4 linked regions of the Alligator mississippiensis genome follow. The protein of the gene in region 3 interacts with the protein of the main gene of each other region in a pairwise test. Links are inferred from orthologs where the notes say so. Each region holds a gene or a part of one and is shown on either strand. Other genes may lie near its edges. The genes, in order: FAM110A, DCX, RINT1 and CWF19L2.

Region 1 (7,205 bases), on a different chromosome or scaffold from region 3:
GGCAGCATCCCGTGCCAGCCTGGTGGCACCTGCAGGCATGCACCGCACCCGACACAGCCTCAGTTTTCCCATTTCCAAAGCTGGCAGTTCAAGCAGGCTGGGCTGGCGTGCATGGTGCTCAGGGGGCCAGCACGGGACCGGCTTTCCCAGCCCCCCCAGCTTGACAAAACGGGTCACGTTGCTGGTTAGTGACTCTGTTTGGCCCTGGGTCCTGAGCCAGGCACAGACGGGACTTGGAAGAGGGGAGCCTGTGGGGGCCGGGGTGCTGGGAACGGGGAAGGGGGTGCTGCAGGTTGCCTGCAGCTCGGGACACATTTGCATGCGATCTCCATGTGAATGGAGCAGGTCAAGTTGAAAGTTGACAGGCTTGTGCCTGGGGGTCCGGGCGGGGAGGGGCCAGGGCGTGACAAAAGGAGCCGGTCCCCAGGGGCCCGCCCGCGCCTGCCGCTCCCGGCCCCACCGCCAGCCGCTGGCGCAGCCATCTGGGGAGAGGGCACCCGCCGGGGCCCTCGCGGCCGCATTCGCCGTCACAGTCATCAAGTGGGAACAAAGGGGCGTCGGGCCCGGCCGTGGGGAAGTCCGCGCCCGGTAAATCTCCATCTGTCAGCCTCCTGCCCATGCCGGTCAGCTCGCTGCAAAGCCCAGACCTTGACCCCTGACCCCGCAAGTGTGCCTCCTGTCTGCGGGGCCGCCGGCCTCTTGCACATGCTGCTCGCCCCCGGACGTGGCTGCCTCGTCGGGACCCTGCGGCGGGTTGTCCCTGCTCGGGGGCAAGATGGAGAGAGGGGAGCAGGGACAGGAGTCACCATCCACCCACCCTGGAGGAGGCAGCAGAGATGGGGGGACACACAGGTGCGACGTCCTGGACACAGGAATAAATTGGGACAGGGACACAGCAAGAAGGGTCCTCGGGCTCCAGGGGCAGCTGGCAGGAGCCATATCAAAGCACCAAGGTCCCTGGAGATGCCCAGGCCCCAGCTCTGCGTGTGCCCGGGGTAGCCATGCCCCGGCGCCTGGAGAAGAGCTGACAGCCCCTCCTTTTCTCACAGGCCCCACGAGCAAGGCATACTCTGGACCCACTCCCACGGCACAGCCACGCCAGCTCCTTCCCTCTGCCCGCCCCGCAGGAAGGTGACGTGCAGCCCCATGCCAGCCGGGCATCAGAGTGCCCTGCATTGGATGCTCGCTCCCTGGCACACTCTGGGCCTCACCATGCAGCGTGCGGGCAGAGGGGTTCATCCAGACCAGGGCTGGAGAGGCCTGCGAGGGCGTTAATACACCTGCTGCGGTTGCAGTGAGGCTGGGCCCAGGGAGATGCATGGTGGGGATGCAGGGCACTGCTGGCAGGGATGCCCCAGCTCCTGCTGCCACGGCATGGACATAGACCACCGGGCAGCAGCTTGGGAGCCACAGCAGCCCACTGTGCAGACACTGGGTGGCTCCTATATATCTCGGTCTTAGTGCGGGGGCTGGAGACTCGGTCTGGGTTCAGAACAGGGGGGCGGAAGTCCTGGCCCTGAATTCACGGGGCTGGGACCTCTGGACGATGTTGCTCTGGCTCTGCCCAGCCCCGGCCGTGGAGTCCGAGCCTGCCTGCGGCCTCAAGCACTCACCAGCAAGGGGTTTCTGCCCCTCGGGTGGAGCCGCAGGCCAGGGATGTCCTCATGAGTCTCTTCTTTTGGGGCTAAGCCATCCCTTGCAGTCTTGGTGCTGCTGGCGCTCGGCCCCCTGATCCATTGGCAGGACATGGCCAGGGAGCTAGCGGGTAGGGGACTTGCCAGCTCCCCTCCTGCTTGGGGCTGTGCCCGCTGCCTGCCAGGCTCTCCCCTCCCTGCTCCGGGGAGCCCGGACCTCGCAGCGCCGCGTGCTAGAAGGGGCTGATTGTACTCGCCGCTCTTGTTCTGCAAGGGCAGAGCCTGCTCATTGGTGGCGTCAGCTAACGAACCTTGGCAGCGAGTCTTCCCTCGGCTGTTACAGGGAGGGGCAGGTCACGGGCTCGCTGCAGGGCTCCAACGGCTGCCTTCAGCTCCGGGAAGCGCTCGGCCTCCCCGGCGCGGGGTCTGGGAGCCCAGGGACCGGACTGCACGCAGAAGGCGGGTGGGATCGCCATGCGCTGCACTTGCCGGTCCATTTTAAAGGGGAAATGGCCCATCCCAGCTGCAAAGGGGACAGCCATCCAAGTTTGCTCTGGAGAGAGAGATGTTTGCCATCCTTTCAAGCATATCCAGGCATTAGCTGGGCTGAGCCAGGACCACGGGTGCCTGGGAGACGCCTCGTGCTCCTACTGGGTGGCAGCTTCGGCTCACCTCCCCGTCATCCCGGGGGATGTTCCCCAGAAGGGTGAGGCCTGTGAAGCTCTCCCCGTCATCCCGGGGGATGTTCCCCAGAAGGGTGAGGCCTGTGAAGCTCTCCCCGTCATCCCGGGGGATCTTCTCCAGAAGGGCGAGGCCTGCGAAGCTCTCCCAGGTGGACTGAAACGCCCTGGGGAGAAGGTGCCGACTTTCGCTGCGGAGCGTGTTGGGGCAGCTCCCAGCAGGAAGTCGCTGCCAGACAACCCGGAGCCCATCACGAGCCACCAGGCCTCACGCGTGCCCCGCTAGGATAGCCGCGGTCCCAGCCAGGTCTCCGTGCTGCCCTCCCCCTGCCCTGCCTCGCTGCTCCAGCGGAGCCAGGGTTGCATCTGCGCTGCCCGTCCAGCGCGACAGCAAATGTCCGGCTTTCACTCCCATCCCTTTCACTTCATCAACTCCCCGTCCCACTTGGCAGAGACACCACTTTCGGGGTTGTTTCCATCCCACTGCTTTGCTTTGTCAGCTGAATCGCGGACTCTGGTGCAAAGCCGGAGCAGCTGTGCGTGGCCAGGGGGCTCCTGGGGGTGCAGGGAGGGGGGTATCTTCTCTTGCAAGGCTCATGCAGCAACCACAGCCCCATGCCTGGGCTGACAGCCGGTGGGCGGCCACGACCCCCTGCTCTGTGCTGCCCAGGTTGGCCCTGCTCTCTTTAGCGCACCGTTGTGGGGTGCAGAAGACAGAGCCCCTCCCTTTAGCCAGTGCCGGGCGACAGGATCCAGCCCCATAACTCACTAGCCCTGATCCAGGGAAGGTGGAGATGCCCTTTCTCCTCCCGACTCGGTGATAATGACATCTGTGATGCCCGCCCCGGGCTCTGGGCTGTGCATGCAAGGCTGGGCAGGGAGAAACTAGGATGCCCCCCACCCCCTGCGGCCCCGTGTCGGACCCCAGCTCCAGTCACAACTGCCCAGGGGCTCTGGCACGTCCAGGACTCGCAGCAACTGCTCTTTCTGGGTCAGGAACCAGCAGCGCATGGGAAGGCGTCTCCAACCAGGGCCCTCCCCATCCCCGACAGCCCCCGGCCCTTGGAGAGGCTGCCAGGGGAAGGCATGGGGGCAGGGCTTGCAGTAATAAGGGGGCTCGTGGAGGAGCCCCAGGGGTAGCAGTGCTCCCCCACTTCACCGCCGGGTGCAAGCAGGGTCCGTGCCGGGGGGGCTCTCTTTCCCAGCACTGGAGGGGAAATGGGGCCAGGCTCTTAGGAAATCCTCCCGCCGCCTCCATTCATAAAGTCCCCTGCAGCAGTCGCCTAGCGACCTCGGCCGCGCGCCGTTCGGAGTCAGTGGGAAGGAGGCGTGAGGGCTGCGCTGCCCGGTGAGCCTGGGCCCCGACCCCCTCCCCTGGAGCCGGTCACCTGCAGACCCCCTGTCCCAGGATGGGGGTCCCCCCTGCATCCCCAGCTTGCAGCTTCTGTGTGGCAGGGGGGAAGCCAAGGGGGCAGGTCTGCATGTGGGGCTGGCCCCTGAACCCAGGGGGGTTCCTTTCCCGGTGCGCTGGGTGAGACCTGGTCCTGCCCGGTTGTGGGGCGGGGGGGGGGGCAGGCTGGGAAGTGCCCTGGAGCGGGGCTGGGCACGCTTCTTGCAGAGGCACGGCTCCTCCCTACTGGAGGCTGTGGCTGCCTTCGGGCAGAGCCCGGGGGACCCCCAGATGAGTCAAAATAGGGTTAGCTTTGCAAACAGCAGCTAAAGGAGCAGCCCCGACCTGGGAGGAATCCCCCCGGGACTTTTGGCTGTTCTCTGAAGCACAGAAGAGGGCTGGGCTTGGCAGTGCCCCGAACTGGGATCCCTGTGGGCAGTTCCAACCACACGCCAGCATGAGCAAGTGTGTCCAGGTGATGAGCATTAGCCAGCGCAGCTGCAAGGCATTCCCATCACCCAGGGCATGAAGCAGGGGAGGCAACAGGGAGGCTCCAAGGAGGACCATCTGTTTTGTGGTGCCCTGGTCAGTCAGCTCACTGTGTGGCGCCTTGTCCCAAACCGCAGGAAGCCCAGCTCCCCCGGCCAGGTCTGAAGGATAAAAGAGTTGGAAGGAGCCAGCGTATGATTTCCCCGAGCTGAGCAGCACCTCGAGCTTGGGAGCCCAGCTGGGGTTTGCACCTCATCCCCAACAAAACCCTCTGCTCGGTTGCATTCGTGCAGTCGCACGGTGCTGGGTCGGTAAGTGCTTTGCCAATCCTGACCGCCATGCTCGCAAGAACACGAAGTCTTGGTCTTTGTTGCACTCGGGGAGGCAGCTCTAGAGGCCCGGAGAGAGCCGTGTTGGCGGAGGCGAGTGTCTCTGTACCCCTGTTTCAGGCTCGGGCACTGATCTTTCACACCAGATCCATCCAGCTGGATTAGCTGTGCCTGAAGGGCATCCCGGAGGTGGATGGGTTGTGCAGGAACCAGGAGATTCCCGGTGATGAGTCAGCAGGGAAGTCACCCCATTGTCTGGATGCAGCTGAAAAGCCCCCAAATCTCAGCACAAAATGAGTCAAGGAGGGGCTGCATCATAAAGATAATCCCTGTGGGTGGGTGGTTATTGCAGGGCGTGTTTGATCCCTCCACAGCTCTTGCTTCATAACCTTATCAGGCCCTTGCTGGGCTCTGAAGTGGCAGCCGGGTTCAGGTGACTGGGAGCCGGGGCTCGCACCTCGGCGGAGCCTATTGTTTCGGTGGAGACGGTGCTTTGCAGGGGAGGCGAGGGGGGTGGGGGTCACAAGTCTGTGAAATGGGTGGGGGGAAAAGCTGAGGGGTGCCCTAAAAGCAGAGGTCGCCCCCACCGCGTGCTCTCAGCTGTGCCCCAGGGCTGGTTGAGGAATAGCTGTTGCATCCTGGACTTGCCATCCAGCACAGGGCACCAGGGCAAGGGACCCAGTCCTGATGCGGTGGGTGCGTGAGGGTTGCCTTGTATTCGCTGGCCTCCCAGACCGTGTTGGCAGTGCCTTCGGTGCCAAGCCTGGGAGCCCAGTCAGGGCAGAGCAGATTGTGCCCTATAGAAGTGGGGGGCAGGGGCACCTACCTACCTGCCTGCCCGCCCCAGAGGCAGGGGGCAAGGCCCACGCCCCGGCCCTGGAGGCCAGACTGCCTCTCTCCCTGCACGTCCATGCCCCCAGTGTCTTGCAGCAGATGGGGGTAGGGCCGGGGCAGTGTTGTGTGCTCAGAGCCAGCTTCTGCATGACGGTGCACAGTGACTCCCCCGTCTCCATCTGTCCATCCGTCCATCATGCCGCCTGCCCTGGATGTCTATGCGGGGGCCTGGCCAGCTGTATCCAGGCCCCTGGGGAGAAGGGGACGAGGGCAACAGGGCCAGGCTGGCAGGCCCCCTCCTTGCCCAGGGGCCCTTGCCCTCCCATGCAGCAGCTGGGAGCTCTCTGGGTGCCAGCCCATTGCTCTGCCTTGCTGGGTGCTGGCTCCTGCCTCTGGCCCTGCCCTACCTGGCCGGGAAGGTGTTCCCTGTTTGAGTCTAAACAGGAAGTGGTGCAAGCAGGTGGGCCAGCCCTTCCCGGCTGCAGGGAAGCAGGGAGCTCCCGGGAGCAGCTGCTGGAGCAAGGGGGAGGCCACGGGGTGAGTGACCTGCCATCTGCCTGCCCCTTCCCCTTCCCCCGGCCTAGGGTCCATGCCAGACTGCGGAGGGGGCTCAGGCGGGCAGCACTGAGAGGCTGCCGGCCGGCCTCTCTGCCGGCCCCTTTGCCGGCTCGGGTGCAAACATCAGGGTTCAGAGTGCGAGGGCAGCAGGGCACAGAGCGGGGGGCCGGGGCCCGGGAATCCCCTGGCTCCGCTGCAAGGGCAGAGGCAGCCCCGGAGGGCGCGGGGGCAGCTGGGGTGGGAAGGGACAACCCGCAGCGGGGATGGTCCAGGATGAAGCAACCTGCTGACGTTAGGAGCCTGCTGAATGTGAAAGCAACCTGACTTCCCCAGCACTGGGGGCCTGCGGGGAAGGAGAGCGACTGCGTGGAGGGGGCAGAGCAACCTGGGAGGACGGGGGTACCGGAGCAGCGACCGGCTGCCTGGGGTCTGGCTTGCACTGGCTGAGCGCGGTCGCGGTCCCCTGGACCCCTCGGCAGGCTGGGGCTTGTGGGGTCTGCCTCCAGCGCTCTCCCGGGGTGAGCACACGGACACCTCCTCCCTGTCGGAGCTCCTCCGGGTGCCAGCTCCGCACGCTGCTCCCCGCACCCGTCTCGTGCCGGCGGACGGCAGCTCTTTGTGGCACCTTGAACCTCGTCTTCCCGCCCACGGGGCGAGCTCTCCCCGGGCATCAGGTCCGACCGGTTGGGAGGCCTCTACCAGGCATCTGGGAAGGGGTGGCAGGGGCGGCGGGGGTGTGGAGAGGCGTGTGCCTGGGTGCAGCCCGGCGCCCTTGGCGGGCAGGTTGGGGCAAACCTCCCCACTGCCAGGGGCTGTTAGCAGCGTGCCACGTCTTCTGGAGAGCCCCGTCTTGCCCTCAGCGGGACAGGGTGGGTGCTGGGGTACCAGTAGCCAAAGCTACAGACATTTCTGCTTCAAGAGAGGGGACACTGGGGGCAGGTGGCACGGCCTCCCCCTGCTCCCCCCAGCCACTCGGTGACTTGCAGGGAGTGTCTGGAGCTTTGCACAGACCTTGGGGCACCCACCTGAGATCCTCCCGGGGATCCTCCAGCCCTGGCCTGTGGGATGGGAGCAGGGGGCTAAAGGGCTTGGGGGGAAGCCACCAGCCCTGGGATAAGGGTGCATGTCTCAAGCAGGCTGTGAGCCCCGGGGGCAGGTCCAAGGGGGTCCCGGCAGCTGGTTTGAAGTCCCCCTTTCCCGAGGATGAAGGAGGGGAGGGCAGGCTGGGCCCCTGGTGGCGGGTGCAGCCAGCTCCGCATGTCTGGGGGTGGCCGGCACCTGCAGGGCAGGG
Region 2 (7,008 bases), on a different chromosome or scaffold from region 3:
ACTCACACACATCCACATACAGATACAGTGTGCCCAAAAATTACTCCCATACACACTCACAGATATACTGTGCAGTCCCCTCAAACACACAGTCACCCCCAAGTATACCGTGCACTACACCTGCAACTGCAGGCACACAGACATGCACACCTCTGACCATATCCATTGAAACACCCCTACCCAGAAATGCCTGTATATTTACGTGCCTCAAGTACAGGTATGCAGAACCCCTTCCCACACACGCACTCATACACACTTTCTATCACAATGCCTCATTTTTGTATTTGCATAGTTTATTTTATTTCTAAAATGCTTTTCAGTCACTTCCCCAAAGCTCTGGCTGCCCATTCAATGAATTACAACTCCACAATACAGACAATAGTATAGTGTCATCTATTGGCCACAGAAGAAATGTGACTGTCGAGTCACAACCAAACAGTGCTACATAGTTCTCCCCCACCTCCTCACCTGACCGTAACTCAACCGTCGGACATTGCTAATTACCTTCTTCCAGTTCATCCATGCTCCCGATCTTTCTGGCTCCATCAATGGTGTAGATGTAACGAACTCCCTGAGGCAGGTTTATGTTATCAGACAGGGACCTGGTCAGGTCAGCCAGCAAAGCGTCGAAGCTTCGGAAGCGGTCAGAGGACACAGCATATACAATCCCCTTGAAGTAGCGGTCCCCGTTGCGATAGAAACGCACCTTCTTTGCTTTCTTCTCATTACTCAGTGCCTGTAAGGTCCTGGTTCGGTAGAAGCTACAGTGAGCACTATGAGTGGGGCTGGGCAAGCCATTCATACGTGAGCCTCGCATGTTTCTGGACGCCTTATCTCTTTCGTCAAAGTGTCCAAAATCAAGTTCCATAGTTTGGTGACCCCTAAAGATCTGAAGCTGAGTGGAGGGAAATGAGGAGGAAAGAATATGAACAATATATTAGACTGATCAAAACCAAAATCTGGGAGAAATTACATGCACTCCATGCCTGGGCTTTTGTTTTTTGAGAGCAGAATTGGTTTATTTTAAGAGTGACCTGTATCCTGCTCACCCTCACCTAAATTTGTATTGATTCTAGGGGGTGGGGGGAAAGAGGGAGGGATCTTGGGCTTTTTAAAAAGGATCCAATTATGGGGGAGGGGATATATTTTTGAATAGCAGCTTAGACTTTGCACACTGAAGTTCCTTGCTGTTTCCAAGTGCAGTAAAATGAGACTTTGGGCTGGATAACTGCAGGGAAATGATAAGCAGAACTCCCAAATCCTGTCCAAACAACAACGGTTGGTAATGAATTAAACCCTTGAGCCTTGCAAGATTTCCTTTGGCTGCAGAGAATGAGCAGATCCCTCTGAGTTAGGTTTCAATCTGTGGAATCGCAGAAGGACCTAATGTGTCTGAATATTTCAAATGAGGACAAAACTGGTATTTCTGAAAGAATGGTCACAGGGGAATAGCCATTTTCTTTGTGACAGGCTGGTCAATAAGGGCTAGCAATCAGATACAGCACTCCCTCCCCCACTTCCCAGCCCCCCTCTCAGCCCATCAATCAATTTCTGAGACCATCCTACATTTCCAAGAAAAAAAATGTCTGAAAAATCTGTCATTGCTATGAGGTTTCGATGAGCTATTGTCAGTTCACAAATCTGTCCTGGATTTAGTTCTGGTCCTATTTAATCAGAAGGGGAAAAAAAGAAAATAAAATGGGGTATTTCTTTTATCTTTCTTTTTCTTTTTTTTTTTTTACCCAAACCTTCCCATCCTTAAGGAAGTGATTTCATTGTGGAAACTATCCTTGTGCAAATATTCACATCATGCCACTGCAAGCACACCTTTCATTGTTCTGAGCTGTGGTGTATTACAGGGAGGGAGAGAAAGAGAGAGACTGGAACCCAAGAAAGGCAGCCCTCTGGGGAAAATTGCACTGAGCCAGAGATCAAAACCAAGGATGGGCGATATTTGTATTTTCTTTAAATGAAACTTAGTACCAAAGAAACAAAAATGCAATAAAACCAAAAGACTCCCCCTAGACTTGCAATACAGAAAACCTTCCAAGGCTGTCACTCCACTGGGCAAAAACTATTTAACATGCACCTCACATACGTTAGCAGTGTGTTCACACCAGACAGAAATGGGATTAAAATCTAGTGGCTCAGCGATCAGCTCCCAATCCTAGAAAAAGCTGTTGCTCTCTTTCCCCACCCATCAGATTTGCCAGAACAGGTCCCATTTTCTGTATTTTACAATGTCACCGTGACCTGTCCAAGATCTCATTATTGTCTCTAACATGCAGCAGAGCAGCAATGGGTAATGCCAGCAATTTTCACATAAATCCCGAGTTGCAAACATTTCCCCTCTCAGTGCCAATTATGATACATGTGCTTTCATGGCATGCATAATGCAGTGGAATATTCAAGCAACTTTCCAAATGAATGGGAGGTTTTTCCAGGATTTTTTTTGGAAGCTGCAGATGCTGTGACACACTTAAAAGAAGGTTTCTTGTTTCCCTTTTGTATCTGACATCTGTTTCTTTCTGCATAGAAGTCACTCATAAAAGCTCTACTCACCGGTTTTCAGCTCGCAGGGTGGAGATGCTGAGAGAAAGAAAACCAAGCTCCCTCTGCCTTTGTTGTCTGAGCTCCAAGCAAGAAATTCCTGCCAGGGTGGATGAGACTTCTCCTAGGTCCTAGTGCCTTGTGCGCCCCTCATCAGAAAACTCTGCCTCAGTGGTTTTTGAGTGACTGATCCTTGGTTTAAAATCTCCTTGGCTGTGTTGTCACAGAGAAGAACAGCTTCATTCCAGTTCTGCCTGCATTTATAGCTAAGCAAGAAGAGTTAAGGGGGCAGTCCCAAAGTCATTGCTCACTGCTTACTGGAAGCAAAAGTCCCACTGACTTCAGCTGATCTAATCACCCCAGCAGCATCTGGCCCCAGTTTGGAGGGAGCAGGCAGGGAGTAATTAGATGTATGCGGCAGTGTTAAAGGACTACAGCTGCAGGGGGGAAGAGCTTTCACTCTGTAGCATGCAACCAGTTTTGACTTGAATGTCCAGCATATCACAAGAAAGTGAATAAATGTGCGCGGGGAGGCGAAGCGGCCCAGCTCTTTTCTCATGAACAGCTCATCAAATTCATCATGGTTTCTGTGGCTGTAAAGGAAAGGAGAATTTGACACTGTGGCTCTGCAGTGCTGCACCTTATCATAATTTTTCTTTGTTAATATTTTTGGGATGGGCCTGAACCCCCTTTCTCTTAAATTTCCCAGGGGCACAGAGTTGAGTAACTGGATCCAAATTGGGCCCAATAGATTTGATTCTGGGTCAAATCCAAAGCTAGAAGAGGATAATTTTCTCATTCCAGCAACAGACATTTCACAACAGCTGATTCTTTACATTTCTGTCATCGAAGCCAAACATCTGAAAGCCATTCACATTTTCTGGTTGCTCTTTGGAAGGAGGTGGTGATCCCTGTGAGTTATACACTGCAAAAAACCCACCATAATTCACACCCCTGTTGCTATTGGTCTCCATCTGGTCCAGGATAGATTGGGCCATAGAAACAGCATGATCCTGTCACCCCTGAGGAGGTCTTTTCAAACCAAGTGTATTATAGGGGTATAGGAGGTCACTCTCCAGAGTTGGCAGCCTGGTACATTGTATCAGTACCCGCTTTGTACAAATACGTTTTTAAAACAACAGAAGTGACACAGATGAAGTCTCTCTGGGCGATATGTATTTCAGTTGCATCTATCCTGAAAGGGCACAGAAAGTGTTTAAACAAATGGATCAAAAGGTGCTCTTGTTTGTTTTACTGTAACTTCTGTAAGCTCCACCCTGACACCTAATGGAAAAGGTTATCTCTTAACCCTCCAAACCATCATTTGCCATTTGTGGAAAGTATTCTGATGGGAGATAGCACAGCATCAATGGACAGCTCATGGCTTTTTTTTTGCGTGTAAGCAATGAGAAGATAAAATACAATACAGTGATCACACCTCTGGTACAGAGCACATGGACAGGCCCTTCTTTTGAAATAAATGAAAAATAAAGTAGAATCACTATTGACTCCAGCATGATCCTATGCACTTGCCATTGACAGAGATACAATTTCTCTAGCTGATGATCACAGCACTCATCCCGCCTTGTCCCTCAAACGATTGGAAAGATGCCTGAGGCACTTCCTCTATATTAGTTCCTCTTTCATCCAGCCACTATCAGAGAAAGAAGATAAGTCAGTAGCCCCAGTGTCAGCGATGATGAAGACTCTTTCAAACCAGTTTCTTTTGTGACTTACAATAACATGAATCCAGAGTAACTGTGAATTACTCCATATTACCCCAACGCTAACGAGCACTGAATCCGACACTACAGACAGCTGGGGGCAACCAAATGCAATATGTGAAGGAGAGCCATTTCTAGCACACTTTGGGGAATCCGTGGACATGGCCCACCTAGATTTGTCACATACTAATGTCAGGGGTCAGCAACCTTTAATTGCAGGCTGCCTCTTGCGACCTCACACCCCAGCCCTCCCTTCTCTCTACTCGACTTATCCTCATCCTCACCTACCAGCTATTATCATTTCCCATCTCCGACACTGATGTGGTGCCACATATGTGGTGGTGTGGGGCATTGCAGGGTGATGGAAGGCGCCTCCGCACAGAGCAGGAAGACCAGACGCAGCGGATGCTATTGGCAGGATGCATTAGAGAAATGCATGACCCAGGACAGAAAAGGTGCTCCCCAGCCTCCACCGCTGTGTGCTGAAGACCTCACCTTTGTGGGCCAGATCCAATCTCTTCACAGGCTGGATCCAGCCTGTGAGGTACACAGATTGCTGATCCTGGCTATTTATACTTCCTTTGACCCCAGTACAGTTACTCCTGATATAAAGTAGGTTATATTAGGAGGACAACCAATCCCCTGTCTAAATCACTTTAGGCAGGATAAGTGATTGAGAAATCGGGAATACATCTCTTATCGTCCCATCAATAATTTTATTTATGTGAAAAGGAAGGTTAAATTTAGGCCCCCAGATTAAATTACCTGTTCTAAATTAGGTGAATTATCTTTACCTAAAGTAGAAAACATTTGGTCTTTTCCCTGTGTAATTAAATCTGCCTGGCAAGGCAGTTCAGTCCCTAGTGGCAGCTTTATTCCATCTTGGAGTTATCATGATACTTTCTGAAAGCATGGAGAGAGTCTGCCAGTTAAAGGCGATTTGCTGCTATGTACCTAACCCCGGTGCACCGAAAACCCTGACTGACATCACTGGCTCTTCCAATTCCTGTGTCACAAATCTGCCATGCAGCATCCTTATTCCAGAAACCCTTCCTGATGGGGTGATGCATTTTGCAGTCAGCATCCCGTGTACATGATAACTAGCTGAGGTCTGACTGCTCTGGTGAGGATTCTGTGATAGCATAGCTAAAATTCTAGCTGCTAATTTGCTTTCAAGAGAAGTCTTTTCAAAGCAGTCTTGGGTCCTTAGGCACATCTGTTCCATTAATTTTCATTTACAACCCCTTCTCTGCTGTGGGGAAAAAAAATCAAACTTGAGCTCCCCTCTTAACAATTTTTTTTACAAGAATTTTAAAGTCAAGGCTTTCAGAAATGGCAAGTGATTTGGGGAGCTTCAGTTTTTTGGAGTCTAATATAAGACATCTTGAAGGAGCCTGCTCTCCAGGGGTGGGAGTCCTCAGCACTTTGTGACTTTCTAATGAGGCTCACAATAAGCACCCAGAAACAGATCTACAAAGCCAACAGTCATTTTTGAAAGCCTTAACCATATATCACATGTATCAGGAGTCATTAGTGCGATTGGTGTGCGCCTCCAGGAACTGTTCTTATAAAGGTCTATAGAGTAAAGCCTCTCTGCACAACACTCTGAGCTCATACATGATCTGGAATTGGCAGGCTTTCACAATATAACATTTGTTTCCTTTTGAGATTTATTTTAATAGGAACCACACACATCTGAATATCATGTAAACCCCAACATTACAGAGCCACGTCATCCTGCCTGCCTGGGAGGGAAGGGAGGAACCATTGTATCACCAATCCTCCAAACCCCAGTAACTCTCTGTGGAGGTTGGTCAGGCCATGAGTTCACAAAACTGGAACAACTTGAGGGTAAGAGCGTTCTCTGAAGGGTGGGTTATCTCCTCCCATATGCTTTATAGGAGCAGCATCTGGTAAATGAAGCCACAGCCAGGTCAGCTCACTTGGAAGCACTCGTACAAGTGGGCTGGATGGGCTAGAAGGTGCCTGAGGGGATGTGGGACTTCTCTACAGTTCATCCCAATCTTCAGCAACTCCCAGAGATCCTCCATGCTCTCTGGGGATGATTAGGGTGTCTGGCAGCTAAACTCCCACAGCACTCTGGGGAAAGGAAGCAAACCTCACTGTCCTCTGATGGAATAATAGGAATCCCATTGTGAGTTCAAACTCATGCTATCTATAGGTTATTAGCGCGGGAAACAATACTTGAAGTGGTTTACTAACTCACTCACTGAAAACAAGCCCATCATTACATCATATCCAAATGTGAATAAAGATTAAAATAAGCAATCTCAGCCCAGAAGAGGAATGCCTATCCCACTAGACTGTGCTCTGGTCCTTCATTCCCCACTACAGAAGGCAAAACAGCCACCTTTTCCAAATCCCAGTGATCCTTCTCACATGAAAATGAATTCCCTGCACCAAATAAATAAATGTCCCCAAAACCCAGAAGGGCAAAGTATTGAGTTACATAAGCAGAGTTCTAGCAATTTTGCAGTAGCTAAGAGCATTGCATTTCCCTTTAAACCCTGGAAAGGTGGGCTTGTAAAGCTTGCACAATCACATAGAAGTCTCCATCGCTTTCTCTGGCTCTGCCCCGGGAGACTTGCAGACCCCTGCAGAAATTGTCAGTATGTTTCTAGCTGACCTGCACTCTGTGATATATGATCTGTTAGTCCCAGTAAGGTCACAATGGATGTATTTCCAGAACAGCCATTTTTCAAGAAATCCAGGT
Region 3 (7,401 bases):
CCTAATGTCTATGAAATCTATGAAATATGCTGTGCTTTGGTTTTGATTTGACCTGCACAGTCAACTAGGTGAATTCATAACTTGATTTTTGGTTTCGGTTATTATGCAAGTGTATTTACCCTCCTGTTTACAAATCAACAAAACACATATGTACTCTCTCTCACACTTCCTAGGGATAATCACCTGAAAAACATTAATTACAACTCTGAAACTGCCAAGCTTGCCTAATATTGTATTGGCATCAATTATGAATTTTATGAAACAATGAATTTTTAGAAATGGAAAATTTCCCACATAAAAATAAAACACTGGAAAATTTTCCACCCCACATCTGAGCTGAGCTAGTTCACAAGAATGACATAGTATCAAAGCCTTACTTACTACTATCTCCTATTAATCTCTAGGTGCTACTAAATTAATAACCTGAGGATATGTTCTAGTATTGTTCCAGATATCAAACTTAGACTGACTGGCCTGTAATTCTTTGGATCCTCTGTTTTCCCTTTTTTCAGTTTCTGGGACGTCATACAACATCTATGAGTTCTCAAAAGACAATAGCTAGTGGTTATGCAATCATTTCAGCCAATTCCTTCATTAATTAAGGAGCTATTGATTTTTAAATATCTAGCTTACTTAGGAAACTTCTAACTTGTTCCTTCCTTCCTTCCCAGGAGCTCAATACACACACCCCTCCCCTCTCCACAGTAAAATATACATGATTGTTTACTTAAGGATGTAAAAAAACCAGCAGTTTTTCTGGCATTACTTAAAATATTGCAACACACTATTTACCTGAATCCAAAACAACCCTCAATAATTAAAACAACCCGCAATAATTAGATTCTATATATGGAAAATGTATACACTTGTTTTAATTTTCCATATATAGAATCTAATTATTCCATCTTAAATCTCTTCCCCCCACACACAGTGCTGCAGCAGGGAAAGCAATGGCAAGGGTGCAGACACTAGGGGGCAGGGGCAGTAGCAGTAGCTGTGGTTCCAGCTGACCCCAGATCAGGGCCAGCGCCAGAGCTGCAGCAACTGCCTCCCCGCCACCACCTCCCTGTACTCAAATCCAAGATGAGGGGCTTTTTCCCACCATGTTAAACAGGGGGAGAAAGCATCGTTTTGGATTTGAATAAATACAGTAAGTACATATATGGTTTGGCAACGTACAGTAAAATCGCTGATATCTGGCACAAATGGGGAACGAGGGAGTGCTGGTTCTGTAAAAATGTGGGTTACCTGAGGGCACAGGGTTTCCACCCAGACATGGAGCCGGAGTTGGTGGCAGCAGCCATATGCAGAGTGGGGGGTGGTGGCTGCATGTGGAGCGGAGGTAGCGCAGTGTGGTGGGTAGCAGCAGCCACATGCAAGCTTTCCCCCCTGCTCTTCTGTCATACTGTTTTTACTACATTAGTGAATTTGAGAACTGTGAGAATGCTTACCTGCTCCTCCAATTGCCTTTTGTTTTCTGAGAGCTCTTCTATTAGCATGCCAAGTTTTGTTAGGGAATTACGATCGTTTCCAATTTCTCTTTCCACAAATTCAGATACATAGTAGGGTATATCACAGTGATCTGGATCTCTAGCGACTAGTTGTCTTCCAACTTTAATGGCCGCCATTTTTTCTTCACCTGCAGCACTGAATTACAGGATATTTAGTTAGCCACCACCAACACAGAACTACTGACCACCAGAGTGAAATAGGGCCAGAGAAAATTCAGTTCAAAACTATTCTGTGAAAATACTGCTTCCATAAGACTATCCACATGCATAAGTTTTTGTGGGGATATGGCCTTTGATCCACAAAGTATGACACACACACACACTCATCGGCTGACGAGTGCACAGAACCAAAACACAGCTACGAGCAAGAAAAGTTAACCAGCTTTTACTCCTCTGACACTATATTTCTAAAAGCTACTTGATTTTTGGACAGGCATTTAGTAAGCAATCCTACTCAATTTACTAAGATGAGCTGTGTTTGGGGAGTTTATGCATACTGTTGATATACAGGAGGTGAGGGGGTGCGTGAGTGTATGCGTGCGCGTGTGATCTGCTTTCATAAATTATTTTTTCTGTAAGCCGCCCTGAGCCTGTTTTGGGAAGAGCTGCAACAAACATCTAGTAAATAAGTAATTTTATTTTTGGTTTAGCATATAAAAAAATAATCGAAAATGTTGGTCCAACTCCTGCAACGACCTTCGGCAGCTTTGAAAACAGTGAAATTCACGTGCGAGAGCTGTCTGGTCAGGTTATCATCCCTACCTCAACCACCAGATTAAAAATGTGCAAAATGTGTCAAATATTTCATATGTGCAGGCAGCTGAAGAAACCCGCGGCCATTTGAACATTAGCTTAAAACTTCTTTGAAAGAAACGCGTGGAAAAGGGGGAAAAAAAACCTAGAAACCATTTATACTCGTTAGTCTGGTCACCGCACCAGCAGCGGACAGGCTTGGCCCGTGACGCTGCAGGCGGTGTCTTTGCCTTAGTGCCTTTTGGCTGCTTCAGTCCGGCACAGCCGCAAGGGAGAGGAGAGGAGGGCAGGGCAGGGCAGGGGAGCGGAGCGGGCTGCCGGCCGCGCTGTCGCTGTCGCTGCGGGCAGCCGCGAGTCAGCGCAAGGCCCGTTTGTGGGAGCAGCGCCACCCCCAAACCCCGCGAGGAGTGACCGCGGTCGCACGACTCGCGCAGCAGCCGCCCACCGGGACGAGTCTCATCGCAGCACCTGCAGCAGGGCCGGGCCGGGCCGGGCCGGGCCGGGCCAGGCCGGGCCGGGCTTCCCCCCACTCCGCTTGCAGCCGCCGCCACTCCCGCCGGGCCCTGAGCCCCGCCCCTACCGGCCGCGTCCACAGCCCCAGGTCCCGCGAGAGGTGGCGAAGCCGCCCGAGCGCGCGGGTCACGTGCCTACAGCGCTAGAACAGAGTACCTGCCACGCGCGAGACGCACACGCGAGGAGGCCCCTCCGGCGGTTGTTGCCGTTATTGCAGTTCCGCCTCGCCCCACCCCCAGCGAGGGGCGGAGCCTGGCACTCAGCCCCGCGCCCCGTGGCCAATGGGAGAGCGCGGTTGGGTTGGGCCGGGCCCCGCCCCGCCGCAACGCGCAGGGCAGTGAGGGGCAGCCAGGTTCCCGCCCCCGGGCTATCCTGAGGCGGTCTCGAGGACGGCGCACAGGCTGAGGGGTGGAGGGTGGCGCTGTGCTGGTCTAAGGACGGTGACAGGCGAGGTTCCGCGGGTAAATCCCAGATCTTTAATTAGACCAACTAATGCAGCTTGGTTGAATCAAAAAGAGCCCGGCCTCAGTGCTCTGACGAGGAGCAGAGTTAACCCAGGGCTTTCACACAGGAAGCCTAGCTGTGCTGTTCTGCCACAGAAAACCTGCTCCATCATGTCTGCTATAGGCAAAAAGAGCGGGACGCAGGAGTGGGCATTGCCCAAGGGCGCCTCTAGGGCAGCCAGAAGTCTACACAAAGTTTGGGAGCAGCTACAATAGTGTGTGCTGAGATGTGGAAACACCTCTGTGCCCCCAAAGGCATCTCCCTCTGCTCCCAACTAGAGTCAAAATTTTGGAAGTTTTCTGTTTTACTGAACACCATTCTGCAAACCGCCACAGCGGGTCGGGGCACCAGCCCACCCAGGATGTCGCCTTTAACCAGCTGAGAGTTTTTTTGGGTTTTTTTTTAAAGAAATGAACGGGTCAGCCATACTAGGAACAAAAAATGGCATCCACCTGCAAGCACATACTGCATCTCCACCGATACTTCGGGCAGTTCATTTTTTTCCCCCCCTCTCAAGAAAAGATACTTATGTTTTTGTATTATTCGCACACAAATCCAATGCTCAAAAGAAGACACAAACAACTTGGACTATTTACACAATTTATTAATTCAAGCAGCAGAAAACAAGTGTGTTTGGTTGGTTTTTTAAAAATTATAACATCGAAAATGCAACAGAACTGCTGTTAGAATGGCTTTTTAATCCTTTGGTGCCGGGAGATTGGATTTGCCCAGCTCATCCACTGCCAGCAATGGACCCACCAAATTTCTGGTGCCCAGAAATTAGCTGTTATTCATGAATACTCATCTGGACTTTTTGGTTAATTTGTTTTTGTTACCTGTTCTTTTGTACAAGTACTCTTAGAGATGAAAACATGCACAATATTTTCATAATAAAATTTAGAGCTCAAATAATTAAAAATAGCTGTATCTGTTTACATCACATAAAAAGGAATTAAAAGTTTTGCCAATCGATTCATTTACCAATCAGTGCAAATGCTACTGGCATTCCAACGCTACTCAAATGTACTCCTCTGAAATAAATATTAATTCTTCAATTGTATTTAATAATTCTTCTCTGTAACATTAGCATGCTTGCAGTGACTTTTATTCTGTGCTGAACTGATGAAAGTATATTCAATGCTCTCTGTACTTATAAAGAGAAAAGCAATTTAGTATTTCCAAAAATCTGAGATTGCTGTCCTAAGCCCATTTCTTCTTAAACTGTAGTTGTGCTAGAGCTTAAGTACATTATGGGCTCAGGTAATTAAGAAAGCCAAAGCATTAAGTTTTTTTTTGTTTTTTGTTTTTTACAAACACCCATATTGCAAATAATTATTGAATTAAATGCTTAAGCTAAAAAAAAAAAAAACTTAAAAAAATACAAACTTTTTTCTTCTAAAAATATTCAATGGTTTGCACAGGACAGGAAAATATGAAAACTCATTCATATTTTAAAATCTTTATGTAGTTTTACAGCATTCATTCAGCGAAGCCACGTAGTATTCAGCTGTGTCTGGTTTTTTATACTCGTGTCCATTTTTAAGACTTCTCGAATTGCCATGGTAGCGTAAGTGGAAGGAGGAAGAGAGAACTCCATCTTCAAGGCCCTGAATTTACCCTCTGTTAGGTATGAAAGAAGCAAATAAACATTTCTGATGCTGTTCTGTCATCACATCATTTGTCCTATTTTAAATATTTTCTCAAAGTGGTAATCTTAGCATGAGGTTCACAGATTGTAGGAGGCTGGAAGGGACCTTGCAAAATCGGGTCCAGGCCCCTGCCCTAGGCAGGAAAGACAACTGGGGTCAAGTGACCCCAGCGAGGTAACTGTCCAGTCTCCTCTGAAGATTTCCAGGGTAAGTAATTGTACCACCTCTGGAGGGAGTTTATTCCACAGTCTGGACACCCTGACTGTGACAAAGTTTTTCCTTGCATTAAACCTGAAATGGTCTTCCCAGAGCTTGTGGCCATTACTCCTGGTTTTCCCCAAGGGTGCCCTGGTGAACAGTTGTTCGCCAAGCCCTTGATATAGTCCCCTGATGTAGTGGTAAGCTGCTACCAAGTCCCCTCTTAGCATTCTCTTTTTCAGGCTGAAGAGTCCCAGGTCCCTCAGTCTTTCCTTGTATGGCTTGCCTTGCAAGTCTTTGATCATACAGGTGGCTCTTCTCTGGACTCAAGCAAGGCCCCCACAGTGAGGGAGGGAGTCAGGTTAGAGGCTGGGGTGAATGGGGCCCTAAGGGGTCATGGGACAGAGCTGCTGGGAGAGGTTGGGGGGGGGGCACGACTCACTGCCGCTCACGCACCCCTAGGGGAGCCATGGGCAGGAGGGCCAGTGCCCCCCAGATTTGTGCCCAGGGCAGAGGCAGGCTACCTGCTGTGGGCTGGGGCTCTGCTGCCTTTGCCCTGGGAGCCATGCACTGGCCATGCATCCCTTGCCCAACCAGTGGCATTGTGTGGCTCCCAGGGCTAAGGCAGCAGGGTGCAGAGCCCCAGCCTGTAGCCTGCCTCTGCCCCAGGCACAAATCCAGGGGCCTCCCATGCCTCCCCTGGAGGTGCATGCAGGAGTGGGGAGCCTCCCACCCCTCCCCTGTGCCTCTGGACAAGCCTCCTGCAGCTGTGTCGCACAACCCCTGACCCAACCCGTCTGCCTCTGCCTGCCTTTCTGTGTGTCTGTCTGCTCCTTGCTCACAAGCCACAACCCCCCCAGCCCCGCTGCTGCCCCTTGCTCCTGACCTACAGTATACCACATCCTGCCAGGGTATGCAGGGACCCTCCCCCCCCTCCTTGGTCTCCAAACTCTGTCCCCACACACACCCACAACTTCACAAATAACACCCTCCCTGCCCCCCCCCTTCAAAAATAGCATCTCACATTCAGATCTCTTGATTTTGAAGAGTTTGTTTCAATTTTTGACAGGGTTGGGGTTGGCAATACTGTTCTAACAAACTTTATACTACACCAGGTCTGTAAAAATCCATAGAAATATTCTTACTCTTACCTTTAGGAAGGACAGGTAATGGTTTTTCCTCCAATTTGTCCAAGTCCGTATTAAATAATGGGATTTTAGGATCATCATATACAACAACCTCCCTTTATAAGACACAGGACAAGACCTTTTTATATTTAATTTTGAAGTATTCAATACTCATAAGTTTAACACACAGTTCCCTAGTTTGGGCATAATATGCAAAAAATATAAAAGATTCACATATATCATGCCAGTGAACAAACTGCAATATTAACCATGAAGTAGATGCACAGGAGAACAAGGCCTGTTAGCATTTTTGCAATCCTACTATTTCAAATATATTTCCCTGTATACTACTACTAACCAGTTGACATTCTGAGGTCGAATGATGATCTTTCTGTAAGCTCCAGATAATGAGTAATCTCTAATTTTGTGTCGCATGTTGTTGATATCAAGATTGTCAGCAGTTAGCATTTCCTTGTAGGCATCACCAACTGCAATAAAAGGAATCTTTAAATAAATGAAACATTAAGTAAACTTAGTCTTAGCAGAACACTCAAAAATATTAATTTACAAGCAATTATTCCCCTGTTTTCAAAATTCTTGAGATCTCAGAAGAGATTTAGCATATACAATGTTAGCAACTCCTGTAAAATATCTTTTTTCATAAAGCCCCACCTGCTGGAGTCATGTGATCATGCAAGAATCTGTTTCCATTAAAATATTTTTCTAGTCCTGATCAAGAAAACACAACTGTAATCTATGTTAAAAACCTCATAATAAGAGAACTATACATTTATTTCTTCTAAAAAACCTTATGGTTTTTGGCATCTTACTGGACAATTCCTGAAAGTTAGCAGTTTGCAAAACCACACATATTTCAAAAAAGGAAAAAGGAAAGGAAAAAGAAAAGGAAAAGGAAAGAAAAGAACAGGAAATAATTGTTCCTGTTGCTGGAAGTGACAGGAACAAGCCAAGTGGGAAAACTACTTTAAAAGCACAGGAATAAATTGATAAGGAAATTTAAATTAATGCCCTAATAATGCTAAACCATGTTTTAACAGCCTTATACCTCCTTTAATTCAGGGATGTCAAACTCAAGCCACATTCCTGCAGGATCCAGACTGCAGAGCTTCTCACAGGCAATGGAAT
Region 4 (7,183 bases), on a different chromosome or scaffold from region 3:
TCAGTGGGGAATAGACATGACTTAATGGAACAGGAGCTGGGTGGTGTGGCTCAAGAGATAACCCTGCCCTGCAGTAGTCGCATAACAAGGGCTTTAAGGTTTAAACCACTGAAGGTGTTAATGTGTGGACCATCAAAGGGGCTAGGAGATCCAGGAGCCACCCAAATTTACCGTGTAATAAGGCCCCAACAGGGCTAGTTAAGGCTCCTGGCTCCAGTCAGTTTATCTGAGTTAGAGTTTAGATCAGTGTTAATTTTGTCCCATTTATCTACTGTTTTAGCACAACAAAAAGCTTGTGGCCACATTCAGGCTTTTTGTTCCATAAAAAAACTGATAGATGTACCCCAAAAATGCTGCAGGCAGCTGGAGCTTTTAGGCCGCTGGAAACCAAAGGCTACCAAGGGTCCCTGGTCCCAGTCAGCTGTTGCAATGGAGGCTGCCCTGGGGACAGAGGGAGCTATGGAGCTATGCCATATTGTCCTCTGGCTGAAGAATGTGCCTTTGCGACAATTTTTTCTTGTTCCAGCAAAGGGACTGTGCATGTGTGCCTGCCCACGGCACTGTATTCTTTGTAGTGCTACCAGCTTTGTAACACTACAGAAATGTCTGCCTTAGTCCCAAATGGCCAAGATTATTGCTTATATCTCATCGTGGTATTGGCAGCTACTAAGTGTTACAGGAACCTGCAGATCTTTCAGGTCCAGTGGAGTACAGCAGAAAGGAAGGGGAAGGAAGGGAAAAGGAAAGGCAAAGGCAAGGGAAGGAGAGGAGAGGAGAGGAAAGTTTTGTTGGGGAAGATGATGGGAACTAGGCTAGTAAATATAAGAGAAAAAGAGCTGACCATGAATGGACATTAGAAACCACAAGCCTTTTCTGAGGTAGCAGTAAAAACAGAAATTGCTGTTATTGTACCCACTTGATTCAGGTTTTTTTTCCTGCTCATAAAAAGGAACAACCTGTTCAAAAAACAAAATACTGAAAAATTGTCACTTTATATGCAATATATATGTATGTGTTTCAAAGAGATTTGTCACAAAACATTTATGACAAACATTAGTAAATGTCACTAGAGAATGACATGAAATGAAAACTCTGGGTACAAACAATCCTGAAGTTTGAGGAAAATGGATTTAGTTCCAAACTTTGTCTCTTAGGTGTCTTAACTATAGCTAACAATACCATTTGAGTTCTCAGTAGCTAAGCAAATTAACAAAATACTTATTGCCTAGTGTTAGACAACACATGGTTTGATATTAAATATGGAACAATAGATGGATCTTCATTAGATTTACAGCAGTCTGCTTTTTCATTTTTATTGAAAACTAAACTCTTATTTGCAAGAGGCTTTCTATGTCATCAGTGTTAAACAGTCTGTTTGGTTGCTGAAGTTTGGTGCCAAGGACTCTTTTTGACTAAAAAAAAGTAAAATATGCTATTGAACAACTCAGACCTTCACCCAGCTCAGTGGAGCTGACCGCTCCATTGTCAGATGGTATATTATCATTTTTGTGGCACTTAATTTTATATACACCCACCTTTTCTTTCTTTGAAGGAAACTTAGTAAAACTTTTATTGAAGAAAAATGCCCTTCTCTGTGATTATATCATCTGCTTTTTTCTATAATTTCTCATGAGATTGACTTTTTTACTTTCACCAGCCACAGAAAATTCCTGTCCGAAGCTGAGCTATCATTTTCTCTCAGACACACAAGTAACACACTGACAAAGGGAGTGTATTAAAAATAAACAAATTAAGAACTGAATTAGATTCAGTCCATTTTAGCCTCCATGCACCTAACTCTCTAGCCACCTTGTTGCCTTTGATGTTTCTTTTATGTTATTGTTTCAGAATAGGTTGCTGATTCAGATAAAAAACTCCCACAGCAACATGCAGGATTTACCCAAATGGACTATCAGCTATCATCTGTGGCAAACAAATTTTGTTTTTTCAAAGGGAGAGCATTTTCTTTTTCTGGTGAAACTTTATTCTCTACTTGAAGTAAATGGTACAGAATCAAACTTCCTGGAAACATATATTTTTTTTCTTTTTTTCACAATTCTATGGAACAAAAAAAATCACAAAATGCACTAAAAGAAAGTGGTAGCAGTGAAGGTTATAAGATAACTTACCATGGGAATCACCACTTGACTATGCAGCTCGTTTTAAGAGAACAGAGAGATACTCTTCAAACTGAGATATGGTGCACAAAGGTATCTCCCTGGTGGAGACAAGGTATGGATGCATATAGGTTTTCATTTATTAACTTGTTGTTTTCTGCAAGGAGTTTACAGAGCTAGGGTGGTTTGCTGGTCATCAAGGTAACTTGCAGCAGATCTTAAAAATACTACGCTCTTCTTGTTTTCTTTTTAATGTATAAAAGTAGGAAAGGTTGGAAGCTTTTTTATTTTTGACCTTTCTCTGGTTTTACTGAACATGTCTCAAGAATGCTGACAAGCCAAAATACAGTTGACAGGTTTAATTTTCTATCCGTCTCCCTTGAGAAAATTCCTTTCTCATTTCCTTCCCTTCTTTCAGAATAATCTGAGAGAGAGTTCACGATGTCAGTCTGAAGTCAGGAAGAAAGTTGTTGCAGGTCTGTGGCCTTACAGACCAGTAGTATAACTAGGGAGTGGAACACCTGCCTCAGGTGCTCACTTACAGAGGACACCAGAATACCCCTTTTGAGAGTCTTTGTTACAGCAGCCTGGCCCAGTCCCAGGGCATTTTTACACATGTAAGTGCTGCAGTTGTGACACATGTAGTTGTATTAGCAGTGAAACGTGCATCAGTGCCGAGAAAATGATGGTGACGTGCTTTTGAACTAAAACACATTGGAGATGCTTTAGTTCATAAGCCCACTGCCACCATTTTCTACACGCTGATGTACATTTTGCAACTTACACAACCGCACACAGTGTGGCGCAGCGTGCCTCAGCTCGCGTGCGGAGCAGACTCAATTAATTGAGTCTGCTCCAAAGCGGTGAATGTCCAGCGTATTGTGGGACAAAAAAGTATGTGTATAAATGCCCATAGAAGTCAGGCAGCCCTGAGCTCAGTAGTATACAGGGGCAGGGGTTGAGTGGAATGGTGCTCTCCCAACGCCTCACCCTGCCAGGATTTTTGCCATGGGAAGTGCAGGGCCCAGTTGTGTATGGGGAGTAGAAGCAAATAAGGTGAGGGAGCCCATGCAGCGGGGTTGTTGCTGCTGAACACTGCCTGCTGCCTGTAAACCAAGGCCACATGCTGCGGACTGCTAGAGCAGGAGTCAGTAATATTTTTAGGCAGAACACCAAAAAACGCCCAGAAGCTCAACTTGTACAATGCCGGTGTGCCAGGGGAGTATGGCAGGAGAGCCACAAGGGGCCCAATCCTTGCTGTGGCAGTGCAGCCCTGGCCTTTTCCCCACTGCCCACCCTGAGGCGGGCATGCCTTCCTGTGCCGTGCCCTGGCACCCTGCCCCAGAGCTAGAGCGATAAGGGGAACCATGGCTGGCAGGGGGTGGGGAACGACAACGACACACACGGCTGACAGGGTGACTGCTGGACAGCCCTGGAGCTGTTGCTTATGAAAGTTTATTGATCTCCAATTCATCTGTCCCACGCGACTTGACCCGCCTTCAGAATGCTGATTGCATCTACGGACCCCTCTGAGAAATCCTACGAAATACAAGCTTTCGTTTCCACCCAGCAGAACTTTTACCATCTTTTCTCCAAAGCCGATGAAGGGTGTTTGTGCCCCAAAGCTTGCAAATAAAGGTTTTGTTTGGTTTTTTTTGCAAAAATCTTGTTGCTCTAATAAAAGAGATCACCTCTGCCCACGAGCCCTGATTACCTCTTCCCTTCTGGCACCTGGCAAACCTACATTTTAAGACCTTTACAGGACCCTACACAAATAGCACTGGGAGGGACCTCCCGGGGTCGAGGCAGGATCATCGCTGACCAAAGCACCCAACCCACAGCCAGCGCTCAGCGCTCTCTGTCTAACGTGCTGGGGGAAAATTTCAATATCCACAGCAGGGACTCGAACCCGCGATTCTGACTGCAGCCTTACGAGGCTCTCGAGTCCCAGTAGAACTCGCTCCGGCGTGGTGCGGGACCTGGGTGTCACTTCCGCCCGGCTGCTGGAGGACCTTGACCCCCCCCCTCCCCGCCCGAGCGGCGCCTGTTGCGACACTTTCCCAGCAGTGCCGTATTACAGCCCGGCCTGGCGGTGCTTTCCGGCAGCCCCGGGGATGGCGTCCGGGTTTGAAAGCGAGCGGAGCCTGGCGGCGCGGAGGGAGCAGCGGCGGTGGGATCGCGAGTCGCTGCTGCTGCAGGTGATGCACGCGGGTCCCCCGGCACGGGGCCTGGGGCCGGCGGCCGGACGTGGAGGGCCCTGCCCTGCCTGTCCAAAGCGGGGCGCTGGGCCCTGGCTGCTGTCCCCTCGTCCGCTGGCCTGCGAGGGGCGGACCCGTGGAAGGGGGGTTTATTTTTGTGGGCTGAGACCTCCTAGCTGCGGGCGGCGCCATGTGAAGGGCACGGCCCTCCCTGCCCCAGCCTCTGCGATGGCACAGTGTTCACGCTGGACAGACTTCAATTCCTTGTTTCACCCGCACTGGGGACATGAAAAATGTGCTTTATGAATGACAGCTGAGCCGGGAGGAGTGTGTGATAAGTCTTCGTCTTGGGGAGACGGTTTAACAAGTGGTGCTGCCGGCAGGGCCCTCCTTCCCACGGCTTTCTGGTGTGATCCTTCTTATAGGTTGTGTATACAAATTTTTCAAAGTGCTTTTTTTGTTGTGCATAACCTGCAAGTCTTAGATAATGCTGTATTTTGCTCATGTGTGCAAACACCTTTCCTTTAAAAACAAACAAAATAAAAACCGGTCCTGGAAATCAGGGTGTGCATGATATGTCAGGAAATACAGTAGCAGTAGTTTCTACTGCTTGACCCCTTGTAGGGAGAGGGGAATGGGGAGAAAGTAAGGCTGCATGTTCTGTGCAGGGAACGGTCGCAAGGAGTATGCAGGGCTCCCAGCTGCTCTCTGGTTTGCCCGTTACACCATTCACGGTGTACCCCAGAGCTCCAAGGTTCTCCCTTCCATCTTGCTGCTTGTCCTGAGGAACCAAACAAAGCTTGCTCTGGGATAACTCCTTGTTCCAGCAAACCTCAGCTCCACTGCCCCAGCCTGGACCTCACACCTGCAGCAGCGGAATCTTGGGCAGCCCCACGTGGCCTCCCCTGTGCTTTGTGTAACAACTTTTAGGCCGCCCCTTTCCATAGAATGAGCGAGCCTAAAATATCTCTTGCCCAGAGACTGCTCTCTTCCACAGGCAGAGAGTAAGGTGTGCAAAACAGCAAAAGGCTTTATTATAGTAAGATAGAATTGTACAAGAAAAACTGACTATAGGCCTGGAGATGGAACAAAAAGACCAGTAAAGAGATTCTTGCTGTGTTATCTGGTTATATGCTAGTCTTCCTGAGACTACTGCTAGTGTTTTTAGGGATCAGCCTCCCTGCTGATACTACCAGCCGTGACTGCTGGGGTCCTGGACTCCTCTCCAGCCTGGAAAAAATCCAAAGACCTTGGCTACCTTATAAACACCCTTGCCCACTGCCCTCCTGTTCCCATCAGCATGGTCTCAGTTTTTCTTGGGTCTCCAGAATCCTCCAGAAACTTCTCTTTCAGGGACATCTGACTTTCCTCTGGGTGATGGGTGTTTTCTCACAGATGCCTTTGCTAGAGAGGAGAAGATTTCCCCATTACAGGCAGGCAGTTCCTTGAGTTCCCAACCCAATGATGTCTCCAGCCTGTCTGGGATTCCTTAAGTATGCACCCCTCCGTTCTTTGAGATGTCCAGAAACACAAAGATGTATACAGACATCATAACACCATCTATACAGTAAGAAAAGTGACATAAGTAGATATAGCATAACATGGCCTTCCCAGTGAAACCTCACATTCTGTATCAGTGAAATAAATATAAGAAAACATTCACAACTCCTTACAAACTCCCCAGACCACCGTGGGGGTTTGTGCCATTCTGTTTACTTTGGTGGTTCTCAACCAGAGAGCTACTACCACCACAGCCAAGTGCAGTTATCCTATGTACCTCGTGTAGACCCAGACCAGGCAGGGATGTGGCAAAAGCATGCACTCCTGGATGCATTTCAATTATCTTATGAGCCTAAAACAGATAGAAATGCTCTTGCCACAGCCCTCCCTATTCTCCACCTGCCCCCCTTGATCTCTTTTGGAAACAGAGGTACACAGGACAGTTCCATCTGTCCACTGTGCCTCTGTTTCCAGGAGATACAGTCTGGGGTTGGACTGGAAAGAGCTGTGACAGGAGCAGGCTCATCTGTCTCCTTGAGGCTAATCAGATAACGTTGATGTAGGCAGGAGTGCAGCTTGTTTTGAAGCCCTTCCTGATTTGGCTGTGCACAAGGTTTGTGGGGCAGTTCTGTCTGGCCATTGTGGGAACACTTGCACCACAGCATCCTTGAAAGGGTCTCGTGGCACTATTGCCCTAAGAACCAGGGGGCATCTGGTTCTTCTCTCAAATGGAGAGAGAGCAAACAGTAGGATAGATATTGCCTTAAAGTGTGCTTCAGTTTTCTCCAAATGAAAACCTATATGTTCCCTCCAACCAAGGACCCAGTTATCTATTTATTTTTCTCCAAATTAGAACCCATTTATTTTCTTAATAAATTCGTTTTATTGAGCCTTACAAGTTATTAACTACAAGCATGCATATAGATATAATCTTAGCAGTTTCAGTAATATTAACAAGATACAATCTTAGCAAGCAAGTAATTATATATTACTAGTCCTAATACACACATCCAGTGCTGGCCAGGTGTCTCAAAGTGGGCTCTGGTTCCTTGAAGGGAGATCAGATGTCTTCAGTTTTTAGGCATTGTTAGGGTGAGGTGAAGGGAAAGGGTAGGAGAGGAGGAGAAGGAAAAAGGGGAGGAGAGAGAGGGGAAGGGAAAGGGGGGTAATATTTATAGTCCTTTGGTCTCATAGCTACCAGTTAGGCCAGTTTCCTGTTTTTCTTCAACAACTTGGGGTTTGTCTTCACTTTATCATTGTTTTTCCCCTTCTTCCTGGTACCAGGAGCCATTTCCTTCAGATGTAGCTGGAGTGTGCCATAACAAACCCTTTTATCCATCACAAAAACTTTTATCAGCAGACTCTTGC

Evidence for each region.
Region 1: the proteins of RINT1 (region 3) and FAM110A interact in binary tests that used the Homo sapiens proteins (3 or more experiments, as listed by UniProt). The two-hybrid records come from large-scale screens. The link is inferred for Alligator mississippiensis from reciprocal best matches to the Homo sapiens genes RINT1 and FAM110A.
Region 2: the proteins of RINT1 (region 3) and DCX interact in binary tests that used the Homo sapiens proteins (3 or more experiments, as listed by UniProt). The two-hybrid records come from large-scale screens. The link is inferred for Alligator mississippiensis from reciprocal best matches to the Homo sapiens genes RINT1 and DCX.
Region 4: the proteins of RINT1 (region 3) and CWF19L2 interact in binary tests that used the Homo sapiens proteins (3 or more experiments, as listed by UniProt). The two-hybrid records come from large-scale screens. The link is inferred for Alligator mississippiensis from reciprocal best matches to the Homo sapiens genes RINT1 and CWF19L2.

What each region holds. Positions count from the first base shown.
Region 1 is NC_081832.1:1,856,857-1,864,061, forward strand, and holds the start of FAM110A (protein FAM110A), read left to right. Parts: upstream 1-4,204; 5' UTR 4,205-4,504; intron 4,505-5,804; exon of another isoform or gene 5,805-5,893; intron 5,894-7,205.
Region 2 is NC_081831.1:67,032,055-67,039,062, reverse strand, and holds the start of DCX (neuronal migration protein doublecortin), read right to left. Parts: upstream 3,004-7,008; 5' UTR 2,563-3,003; intron 896-2,562; 5' UTR 869-895; coding exon 505-868; intron 1-504. UniProt on the Homo sapiens protein: Microtubule-associated protein required for initial steps of neuronal dispersion and cortex lamination during cerebral cortex development. May act by competing with the putative neuronal protein kinase DCLK1 in binding to a target protein.
Region 3 is NC_081827.1:26,521,432-26,528,832, reverse strand, and holds the start of RINT1 (RAD50-interacting protein 1), read right to left. Parts: upstream 3,010-7,401; 5' UTR 2,934-3,009; intron 2,892-2,933; exon of another isoform or gene 2,845-2,891; intron 2,837-2,844; exon of another isoform or gene 2,710-2,836; intron 1,648-2,709; 5' UTR 1,629-1,647; coding exon 1,452-1,628; intron 1-1,451. Other genes in the region: PUS7 (pseudouridylate synthase 7 homolog), read right to left, coding at 4,765-4,901, 6,280-6,371, 6,614-6,743. UniProt on the Homo sapiens protein: Involved in regulation of membrane traffic between the Golgi and the endoplasmic reticulum (ER); the function is proposed to depend on its association in the NRZ complex which is believed to play a role in SNARE assembly at the ER.
Region 4 is NC_081824.1:437,556,461-437,563,643, forward strand, and holds the start of CWF19L2 (CWF19-like protein 2), read left to right. Parts: upstream 1-4,182; 5' UTR 4,183-4,231; coding exon 4,232-4,315; intron 4,316-7,183.